Linked DNA regions of Coturnix japonica. The protein of the gene in region 1 purifies or fractionates together with the protein of each later gene. This does not show direct contact. Links are inferred from orthologs where the notes say so. Each region holds a gene or a part of one and is shown on either strand. Other genes may lie near its edges.

Region 1 (3,648 bases):
CATTCCTCAGCCTTGCCTGTCTGCAGCCAAACCATTTGAGAAAACAATCTTACTCGTGTTTTTCTGCTCTGGAGTCTTTTGGTGCCCAGACCTTTGCTGGAGAAACTGAACCACAGTTGCTGCCGTTCCAAGTGAAACACACTGTTAGAAAGAATTAGGTTTGGGGAGCAATATAAAACCTCTGGTAAAATAGCCAGAACTGTAGCAAGCTTAGGGCTGGGAAGAAGAGACAATCAAAATGTCTAAGAATAGAGATCTAGTTTTAATGTTGCCTGGGGATTGATGACATTTCCATCTGGATATTGTAGCTAGTGCTCTTCCAAGTAATTTATAGCTGGTATAGCTGGTTTACTGTATCTTGAAAAGATGGAGAAGCCCTGAAATATCATTTGTTTAGTCTGTTTACCTTGTGTATTTGACAGCAGTTTGTTATACCCCTGACCTTTCACATCTTTCATGTGCATGTAACACCCTACATAACCCCCTTTTGTATTTCTTTGTTTCAGGGCTTTGATAGGTGTCTTTCTGATGCCTAGTAGCATACTAAGATCCTGTGCGTGCTCTGCACAAACTGCAGTGTTTACGATACAGTCTAGAGACATCTGAAGAGCCAGCTTGTCAGTGCAGTGTATGTGAAGGCAAGTGGGGTCTTTGAAGAGAAAATATGGCTGCAAATTAAGTATGGAAGAAGGAACCTTCAATACAATGAGGAAATGCCCACTGTTTTGACCTCAGTGAATTCTAGAGTCCAGAGCTCCCTAAGGTGATGGAAAAGATCATGTAGGATGCACACCTGAGCTGGTTCTGCTATTTTCTGCTGTCCTCCAGTCCACACAGTGTCATTAGGCAGCAGTGTTACTGGAACCTACAGGCCAATGGATGAACAGGACAGTGATTTTAAAGAGTTGTGGGCAAATATTTTGGGTAAAGGGAAGAAAAAATCTGAGGATGCTGAGGCTGCAAAGAGGACTCAGAAAAGATCAAAGAATACTGCAGCAAAAAGCAGACTAAGAAGAGGCAAAGTTGCTGCTAAGAGCCAAAACCATCACCTCTTTCCAGCAGCAAAGCAAAAAAACTTCCTTCAGGATTTGGGTCCTAAGATACAAACACTGGGGCACAAAGAAGACAGTGACACTGTGGCCTGCAGTAGTGGTGAGACTTCAGAAGGGGATGGAAGCAGAAGCCCTTTCCCTGCCAGCCAGCTGAGTACCACAGCCAGTGAGTGCAGCCAGGGGACTCTGACAGGTGAGTCAACCAAAACAGAAAACACACTAACTGATGAGACTGTAGTTCACTGGAGCTCTTCACCTGGAGAAGCCTTATAGCAGCACTGCTTGAAGGAGTTTACATCTTGTGTTTCCATCTGTACTTAGCTACTTAGGCTTATCAAGGCATTGAACCTAGCGGTATGCTCAGTACAGATGTTGCAAGATGCTTCATCTTTTCCAAGATAAAGTGTTAGCACAAAGGAGTCTATCAGGGAGTCATTATTCAGGGATTTTCACAATATCAGAATTTAGAAAAACACCTCTAGCGATCAGAGCAAAGAACTGCAGGAGCATCAGTACACTGTGCATTGGGAAGAGCAGGGCTTTAGGGCTGTGTTACTTGTTCCCCTCACTCATGACCTTCAGACAAGGCTTCTTTAATATTCCTCTCTGAAAGGGATGGAAAAGTATTTAAACTTCACTGTAGCAGGAAAGCTTGATACTGTTACTGTGGACACCAATCACAATGTGATTATAATAACTAAATAATAATAATAATAATAATAAAACTAAACACATTGTTCAGTTCTCTGTCTAAGAATAAGTGTTTCAAAGCTGAGCCTGGCTTAGGCTGCTGCTGGGGAAGGCTTTCCAGCAGCAATCTGGGCAGCTTAGTGATGTGTTTAAGACTGGCTGGCAAAGCTCTGGTGTTTTTTCCCCTTCTAGTAAATACTCAGAGTGGTTGTTCCCAGACGACGTTGTCTTTCCATCCTGCTACGCAGTCAGGGACCTGTTCTTCACCCACCTCGAAGACGCCACCTTTCACAGGCTCAAAGATGCGGGTGGCAGAGCTGGTAGTGGAGAGAATGCAGCAGTTCAAGAGGGTGGCACCTGATCAGCTAAAACACAGCACAGACTGTAGCTTGCCAAAGTCCTTAACTAGTGGAGATTTTGGTGGTGAAAGCCAGGAGCAGAACTCACCAGAGAATGGTAAGTTTGTCCTCTTTGCTTTTGTACGTGCAGAAAGAGTGCTGTGGGTTTAGTAATAACAAGTGTAACAGCTCCTTGCCTTTCATATGGGGTTCTTCATTCTGTCTTAGCCTATCATCTTTCCTTTCTTTGCCAGATCTCCATGATCTTCCATCCATGCAGCATGACAGTGCTCTGGCTTCAGCCCTTCAGCAGGAAACACAAAAGGAGTCCATGGAAAGCCTGGAAGATGCAGGCTTGTTCTTCTGTCAGATCTGCCAGAAGGATCTCACAGCCATGAACTCAACACGACGAGAGCAGCATGTTAACAGGTGAAGGACCAGCAGGATGAGTCCTTTCCGCATCTTCTCCCTGTTCAGTCAGCTTAGCCATTACAGAACGGTAATCTGTGAGATGACATTGACCTTTATGTCTTGAATTTGCAGGTTGCTTTGATCTCAAAGCAGAAGCTGATTGTCTTGCTCTGCAGGGCTTCTGCAGAAACATGTTAAGGCAAAGGCTGCTTTTATCAGTAGTGCCTCGGAGGGGCTGTGATTGTGGAGTGGCTAGCAAAATTAATGAGGAGCTGTTATTGTAGGTCTGTTAATTTCAACCCACAAAGTGATATTTTGCTCTGTTTTGCTAAAAATTGTTTTCCTAAGGTTGTTTAACATGTCAGTGCATACTGGAGTTGTTTGCTGAGGGAAAAGAGTTCAGAAAGATGGCAAAGTTGCATTACAGCATTTGGCCATGAGAGTGGAGAGGAGAAGGCCGTATCAGAATGATGAGCAACTAAGCTGAAATCAGTGCCCTTAATTGAACAGTTTCCTTACAAGAAATAGCCACGCTGTGGGTGAGGGGGACTCGCTGCTTTTCTCGTCAGGTGATTCCATTTTTAATGGTGGTTTATGAATTAGCTGGAACATTAGAATGGGTGCAGAAAGAGGGATTAGCTGATGGATGCACAGTACAGCTTAGAAGAAGTTTATCACTTGCACTTGCTTCTGAGCAGCAAATTGTTAATATGCCTCTGAGGCTGTAGTGTTCAGCTATCTGTTACATGTCATAGCCATCAGAGCAGCAGGCACTTAATTTGTATTTCATTAGGGGATGTTTCTGTGGCTGTTAAAGATGTGAGGTGATTGCACTTCCTTTTCTTCAATAGGGCTTAAATTTTAGCGTGGATAGTTCTGAAGCTTTGCTGTTGTCTCACAGGTGTCTGGATGAGATGGAAGAAGCACAGATGTCATCCTCCAGCAAACCAGCAATCCCTGAATGTCCCATCTGTGGTAAGCAATTCCAAACCCCCCAAAGCCGAGTCAGTCACTTGAAACGCTGTGCTGTCGAGATGGATGTTCCTCCTAAGATGCTTCTTCAGGCCGTACAGATGCAACTGTCCACACTTGGTGAGGCACCTCTTCAGTTTCCCAAGTAAGTGGTGAAAATAGAATCATAGCATGGCCTGGGTTGA
Region 2 (3,748 bases), on another chromosome or scaffold:
AAATAAAGGGGGTACTCAGGTAATTAAGTTCATACTTTTGTCACAATACACATTGTTTTAGATCATGTTTGTATAGCACTCTTATATCATTTCCTAATACTTTTGGTTTTGGACAACTCTGGAGATAGGAATATAAAAGTGAATATTTTAATGGCTGTTTTTATCCAGTTGGGTAACATCTGTTTCCCAGGTGCTCTGGAAAGCCTGTCTTTAAAATAAGTTTTACAAATAAATAGTTCAAAGAGTCTCAAAGAATGTTACGTTGGCCAAGTGCTTTTGGAAAGCCAGGAAGTGAAATAGGGAAATATTTGCTTATCAGGCACTGGTTATTGTGGTTTTGTCACATTAAGCACTACTTTTGGACTACTTCCACATGGGGAACATAAAGCCATACTACACTTTCAGAAGTTGGTTTTTTTTTAAGACACATGCAGCAATTACTACCACCACTATAAGCAGAAATTGGGTAATTTCGGTATAGAAAGACAAACATTTGCATTCCTTTTTTAAAGAGACAGGAAGCTACATGCAGTAACAGCAGTAACTTTCTCCTTGAAGAATTACTTTGCACGAGCAAAGAGCAAGAAAACAAATGTGCAAGTGTGCACTGACAAGGTTTTCTGAGAGGTATGTAACAAGAAGAGCCCCAATTCTTTGCAGCGTTGTCTCCTACAACATGGATCTTTTCAAGGGACAAGCAGTTTCCCTAGCACAGAGCTGAAATTAAGAGATCTTGACCTAACAGACCAGCAGCTTATCAAGAAGTTAGTCACTTTATAGAGTCACTGAATGGTTGTGGGCTGGTAAGGGACCTTTTCAGCATACAATCTGTTCCAACCCCTAAGCAATTAGGCAGGGACACCAGTGCCCTGCAGTGGCCAAGAAGGAGGCTGCCTGTCCCTTAATGTACCTCCTATTCAACAGACACGCATTTTCACAGATCACAGACTGACCTGAGTCTGGGAAGGGAACCTCATAAAGGATCATGTAGTTCCCAACCCCCGTGCCCTGGCAGGGCCACAATACATACCATTTGATCTAGATCAGGTTGCCAGGCCCCCGTCCAACCTGGATCTGAACACCCCAAGGACGGGGCATCCACAACCTCCCTGGGCAGCCTGTTACAGGGCCTAACCACTCTCCTAGTGAAGAACTTCCCCCTAACATCCAACCTAAATCTTCCCTCTTTTAACTTACAACCATTTCCCTGTGTCCTGCTATTGTCAGCCCTTTTGAAGAGTTTACTCCCCTAAATTTTGATGGAGATTTCATTTGTTTTTGTGCATTACTAGAGATGGGAAGACTGCTATTTCTCAGGTTGTCCGTTAACTCACTCAGATCCTACGAAGTTAAGTTTTTATTACGTTTAACATCTGCCCCCATAGCGGGAAGCCGACTTCTGAGCAAACCCTCAACCTGCTCAGTTCTTAGGTGACGGGTGCCATCTCGTGGCCAAACGGTAACGCTTCCAGCTGCCATTCGCAAGCAATACTTCCTGTCGCCGCCCTTACAGGCAGTACGGAAACAAAAATAAGCCTTAACTAAAGAGCGGACGCCAATTGAGACTCATGACAGGGAAGGAGGAGCGTGAGGGGGCATCCGCCTGCCAACTATTACTCTCCACACAGCTCCACGCCCCCTGGCCTCCGCGTATGCGCAGTGCGAGTCGGCGTTTTCCCGCCTGCCGTGGTGGGGGTGGGTGCTGTGTGGGGTGTCAGGGAGCGTGGTTGGGGCAGTGTCCCACCGGCAGCACCGAGTACATAGCGGTGTTAGGGTTGGCGAGAGAGTGGGAGCTTTGCATTGTGAGTTTAGGGTGGTGGCTGAGCTTCAGTGTAAGGAGAGGCTCCGTAGGGACTCCCCCGCTTGGTGGGGGCTTCCCGGTGGGCTCGGTGTGGGGGATCTCACCGGGGTTTGCTTCTCAGTTAAAGGATGAAGGGCAGCAAGGAGCTGTTCTTGGTGAAATTCGTAAAGTCTTCTGGGAGCTCGGAGTATTTCTTGAAAGCTTTGGAGGTAGGTGCGAGCTGTGGGCCTGCTGGGTGTAACACTGAGGTGATCTCTGTGGTAGATGCAGCCTGCGTGTGTACATCTAAGAATAAAGCTGCATTTCCTTAACATAAGTATTCCACAGTAATTATATTGACCAAGGTGAACAAGTAACTCTGTCAAAACTTGCTGATATTGAACAAAATGCCAGGTAGGCCCGGAAGGTCCATGTGGTGGTTGCTTATCTGCCTTAATACTTAATAGGAAGAATATGGAGCTTTTCCCCACCTGGAGAGGTTTGGGGGAGCTGAAGGCACTGTATGACACGTTCAGTTTGTATGTAGTGTTTAAGTCTAAATACTGAGTGAAGCTGGGAGGTGACGGGGGCTCTTTAGATACCTTAGCTCTGTTGTGGGCTGTTTCAAATAGATGTGCTTGTGTAACATCCACAGTATTAACTATTTGTGGTTTATCAGTTAAGTAAATGTGGTTGTATGCATTGTTTTCCTGCAGTCTATAAAAGAATTTCAGTCAGAAGAACATCTCCACATTCTTGAAGAAGGAGCAGTGCTTGATATAAAAGAAAATGATAAATCCCTTTACATTTGTGATCCTTTTACTGGTGTTGCTTTCAATCATCTTAAAAAGGTATGCTACACATCAACTTATACCAGCTATACTCTTTTTTTTTCTAGAAGCTCTTATGGATGTTCTCAGACTCCTTTGTTTTTCTTCTTGCATTAAGTATAGTAGTATGCAGTATTCACAATGAAATCTTTAGAGCTTTGCTGCACTCTGTGTTTAGTGGTGAAGACAGCTAGTAAAGTGTAAGGATTATCATGAAGTAAGTGGAATGTATAGGATGTACTGTTTTTACCAAGGGTTCCTCAGGGACAAAGAAAACCTTCCTTGCTCCAGTGTACCTTCTGCTCATTCTCTTTCTTTTGTTTGTTTTCCATGTTATTTAATTGCAGCTCGGTTGTAGAATTGTTGGACCACAGGTAGTCCTGTACTGCATGCAGTCCCAGAGATGTGTCCCAAGAGCTGAGCATCCCGTGTATAACATGACCATGGCTGATGTAACGATATCCTGTACCACCTTAGATAAAGATGTCCGGGTAATGTATTGTACACAGTGGATGGTTGAGCAGGTGTTTCTGTGGCATGTGCTTCATTTATTGCTATGGCATCAGTTGTAGTATTTCACAGAATCACAGAATTGTAGGGGTTGGAAGGGACCTCTAGATCATTGAGTCCAACCCCCCTGCCAAAGCAGGTTCCCTACACCAAGTAGCAAGTGTAACTGTGCATAGTCTTTGTATGGTTTGTAGGGTAGTCATCATTTATGTAAAGAATTGTATAGAGAGAAAGGAAGCATTTTTATAATGTGTGATATACAAGCACGTATGTAGTGATGTATCTATATGTGCACATTTGCCTATATCATATAAGCATATGTAACACTGTAATGTCATTAACATTTGAGGATTTATTTATTGGCTAATGGATGTATGTGTTGGTCAGCTATCATGCTGAAGACAACATGTTACATTTCTGGCTTTTCAGTCTATGGTAAACATTAATTATCCAGCCAGCTGTGCTTTACGTGAGTTATGCTAAGGTTTTCTTTTGGTACACTCCAACAACTTATGTATGCTACCTGAAAGAACAGCCATCAATAAATCTTATTACTGATGGTAATATCATCTTTACTTAAGGTTATGTTTTTGTTTGCCATCCATGCAAATAAAATGGAATTGATATT
Region 3 (3,748 bases), on another chromosome or scaffold:
CAGGCTGGAGCTTAGAGTGTTATGTTCATCCTTTTTGCTCCCGAGCAGCTGTGCCAGCACTAGGAGCCAACTGGCTGTTCAGGAGCCTGTGTTAGGAGCCAAGTGGCTGTATCTGATGTTCAAGAGCCTGTGTTTGGTTGGTGAAAGAGGTGTTATGCAGAGGAGATGGGCCACAGATTGTGAGGGAATGCTGCGGCCCTTCCCTGCTCAGCTGCATCCATGGCCTCGAGTAGAGCCGCACCTCAGCCTGAGCTAATGGAAGGGACTCCAAGTGACTGAGATTAGTTGCAGGGAGAAAATCAGAGCAGGAGCAATACTTCCCATAATAGCCTCGCTTAATTCCCAGGTGGTTGCAGCAGCGATGGCTTTGAGTGTTCTGATAAGAGCCTTACGTGTGTGTGCTCCGTTTTTCTTTAAAGCAGCATTAATGTGGTTTAACTGCAAATATATGGGATATAGGGTTTATGCAGTTAAAGGAGAGAAGCCTGGGCTTGGTCTTTGCGTTCCTTTCTCGCGGGTCGGTCGGATCAGCTCCGCAGCGCTAACGCTCCTCGTGCCCCGGGGCTGTGACTTCCTTAACGAGGCGGAGCGGCGAGTCGGCGTGTTGTGCGACCGTGCACATGTCAGAGCCGCGCCTTTGTTCTCTATGGGGGAAGGCAGCTGAGTTCTGGCTCGAGCGAGCGTGCGCTTTAACTGCAAACTGCGTAGGAAACGTTGTTAAGAATCACACACAGGCTTTATGCTAGAGCCACACCGGCACATGGCTACAGCTGTGTCTGTCTGTGAGTACCAACAGCGAATGGGGTGAGGTCTGTCCCGTTGTTGGTACCGTGCGTTGTTTTGAAGCCGACTGGTTGGGGGTTGGGATCGTTACCGCACTGCCGCGCTGCCCCCAGCGGCCATGCCGCCCTGCCCTGCCCGCTGCCCGTCGCACTGCGCTGCCGGCCCCGCTGGCGGGCTGAGCTCCGTTCCTCGGGCCCTACGCGTGGTGCCAGCAGCGGGGCACGTCGGGCCCCTCGTGCCGACGGGCAGAGCCGGGGCGGGCAGAGCTGAGCCGAGCCCCGCTCGGGCGGGGAGGAGCCGGCGGCGGGAAGTGAGCTCAGGCGCACAGGAAATCCCGCCCGCGCCGCGGCCTGTGTTTGCGCTGCGGGCAGAGAAAGGAGCCGAGCCCCGCAGCGGCCCAGCCGAGCAGCCGCCCGCCCCGTGCCCAGCCATGTCGGACCAGGTACGCGGACGGCCCCGGCCGCGGGGGGAGCGGCGCCACGAAGCCCCGCGGTCCCGCCGCCGGCCGGGAACCGCTCCCTCCGCGCCCCCCCGACCCCCCCGGCATCATCCCCTGCAGACGGCGGGGCCGAGCGGGGCGGGGGTGTCCCGTCGGGGAGCGCGATGGGGGAGGGGGGAACGGCTCCGGCCTCGGTCGGACTCCGCGTCCTGCCCCGCTCCGTCCCCGCTGAGGGTGAATCCCCCCATCCCGCCCCGCTCGGGGCGCTCTCCTCGCGTTAGGGGGAAGGGGCGGCTCGGGATGGGGGCGGCGCGCGGCAGCTGCTGGTTTCCTTTCGCTGCCCGTTGTTGCGGTGGGATGCTGCTCCCCGCAGCGGGCTGGGCCGAGCTTGCCGAGGGCTCCCTTAGGAACGAGGACGGGGGGGCGGCGGGGGTGAACTCTGACTTGCCCGGTTCGGCGTTGTTTGCACGTATGAAACATCCGGTCCTTCACCCAGACCCTGTTTTGCCTCCGCTGGTACGCGGTGATGTTGTCAATTCTGACCCGTCAGCCGGAGACTTCAATAGTTCCTTGTACGGCAAGTTCTTGGCTCGCTCGGCAGGCACACACACACACACACACACACACACACACAGCCCTTTGCTCGCATCCGTCGCGTTGGGCTGTGTGACCTGCTGCCTGGGAGCTACGACAGCGCTCCAGTTCCAATCTGTGCTCTGTTTGACTGCGTCGTTTATAGTACTTTCATATGTCAGTGTTTTCTAACTTTGTCAGGATCGTTTGAATTCTGAGAAATCGACGTTAGCATCTACAAATGTTTCTTGCAGTGCTGTGAAGTCGAGAATAGTAACAGTGCCAGCCAGGGAATTACAGATATCCAAAACTCGATACGCTTTATCTGCTGTGCAGAATAACCTCTATGGGTTGTGAATAGAAATTATTGCTGTACGTGCTGGTGGTCATCCGCTGCTTTTCAGCCCTGTGCAGCTGTGTTGGTGAGGATGCTCCTGCCTCTCTCTGTGAGCGCAGCTGTTGCTGGCACTGATTAGGGCATGTCTCCAGCGCAGGGAGCTGCAGGGAAGTGGCTGCATAGAAGGAAAGCACAAATTCTGAACTAGATTTTGTAGGCTGTTATTCACGTGACCCATTCTGTAGTGCTCTGTGTTTATGAATTAAGGCATGTTTTAACACATAGCAGCTTTCATTAAGTAATTCTTTCTCCAGCCCAGTCCTGCTAAAGCACATACGTGTTTGGAACTGCTTGAAATATGTAAAATTTACTGTATGGGGTTACCTTTTTGGTCTTAGAATAACAGCCCACACTGATTTATTGGAAATAGCTAAGCAAAATGTTGTCATGTATCTGTCTCTGTATTGGGGAGACTGCAGTAAGAGCTTAACAGCTGCCTAATGCCACAATGTGCAGTGAGGCAGAGCTGTAGATAAACCTTGTTTATCAAAGTAATCAGTTGAAATAATATCGACTAGAATAATTTGCCTCTGTATGGGGACTGTTGAATCACAGCCTGAACCACTGTGAGCACCTGGGGAAAGGACCCAGTCAGCCCTGAGTACACAGGTGAAGGCAGTTCAGCTGTGTGACCAGGAAGGGAGAAGCCTGGCTGCAGCTCTGCTAGACCCCATGAAGGGCTGACTGCCACTGGGGAAGGATCTCTTGCTGGACATCCCTCCTTGGTGGAGCTTTCCTCTGCAAACCTGGAATCTTCTGATATGCTGAGTAATCTTCCTTTCCTTTATATCACCTTTCTGTTGTGCTGGTCCTTCCATCATCACACTGTTGTTGTAATGCCTTTCCCATCATATTGATCTGTCCCGTTGCTGCAGCCTCAAATTGGGTGTTGCTTGCAATGTGTTCCGTGTGGCCCTAGAATTAAGTTATTAAGAGGATAGATGCCATTTGACAGTAGTTAGAATTTTGGCCCACCCTTCTAGTATAAATCAAGAAGCATGTTTGGTTTAGCAACTTTATTTCCAATGGCAGATGTACTTTTTTATCATGAAAGTTACTGTAAGAAGGGCAACCTGCAAAAAGGGGCTGCTTGGTGGGTCCGAATAGGAGAGAAGAATGGTTCCCTTCTCTGAAGAATCTTGTGTTGTTTTTGCTGTAGTTGCACACAGGTGTTTGTCTCTTCCCGGACCACGAGTGGAATGCTGCAGCACAGTTTTATACATTCTCTCAGTCCTGCAGCAAATGTCAGAGTTCATTGGCTGGATAATGAAGTGCATTGCAGTTGTATGCATTCTGTAATTCTGGTTTTAAAAAAGCTGGAAGTGACTGGGTATGTTTAGACAGTGAAGCTGAGCACTAGAGAAAACTGGAGGAGGAAGTTTGTAGTACACAAGCTTACAATGCTTGTTTTGTGGTTCTGTTAGCTACAGCAGCAAATACCTGGCACACTCAGTGCAAGAAGCTTTGGGTGCTTTAAGGTCATGAATTCAGTGTTGACATAAATGTGAGACAGTACTGGGGGCCTCAGTTCGTGCTCTTTAGGTGAAAAGGGTTTG

What was found.
Region 2: the proteins of SLX4 (region 1) and TOPBP1 purify together in Homo sapiens (affinity purification with mass spectrometry; 3 studies listed by BioGRID, with this or other methods). This does not show direct contact. The link is inferred for Coturnix japonica from reciprocal best matches to the Homo sapiens genes SLX4 and TOPBP1.
Region 3: the proteins of SLX4 (region 1) and SUMO1 purify together in Homo sapiens (affinity purification with mass spectrometry; 3 studies listed by BioGRID, with this or other methods). This does not show direct contact. The link is inferred for Coturnix japonica from reciprocal best matches to the Homo sapiens genes SLX4 and SUMO1.

Annotation. Positions count from the first base shown.
Region 1 is NC_029529.1:10,984,765-10,988,412, reverse strand, and holds part of SLX4 (structure-specific endonuclease subunit SLX4), read left to right. Parts: intron 1-506; 5' UTR 507-875; coding exon 876-1,245; intron 1,246-1,934; coding exon 1,935-2,198; intron 2,199-2,334; coding exon 2,335-2,509; intron 2,510-3,392; coding exon 3,393-3,608; intron 3,609-3,648. UniProt on the Homo sapiens protein: Regulatory subunit that interacts with and increases the activity of different structure-specific endonucleases.
Region 2 is NC_029517.1:39,238,444-39,242,191, reverse strand, and holds the start of TOPBP1 (DNA topoisomerase 2-binding protein 1), read left to right. Parts: upstream 1-1,477; 5' UTR 1,478-1,516; intron 1,517-1,537; exon of another isoform or gene 1,538-1,922; 5' UTR 1,923-1,929; coding exon 1,930-2,010; intron 2,011-2,496; coding exon 2,497-2,631; intron 2,632-2,957; coding exon 2,958-3,101; intron 3,102-3,748. UniProt on the Homo sapiens protein: Scaffold protein that acts as a key protein-protein adapter in DNA replication and DNA repair. Composed of multiple BRCT domains, which specifically recognize and bind phosphorylated proteins, bringing proteins together into functional combinations.
Region 3 is NC_029522.1:10,246,984-10,250,731, reverse strand, and holds the start of SUMO1 (small ubiquitin-related modifier 1), read left to right. Parts: upstream 1-1,092; 5' UTR 1,093-1,213; coding exon 1,214-1,225; intron 1,226-3,748. UniProt on the Homo sapiens protein: Ubiquitin-like protein that can be covalently attached to proteins as a monomer or a lysine-linked polymer.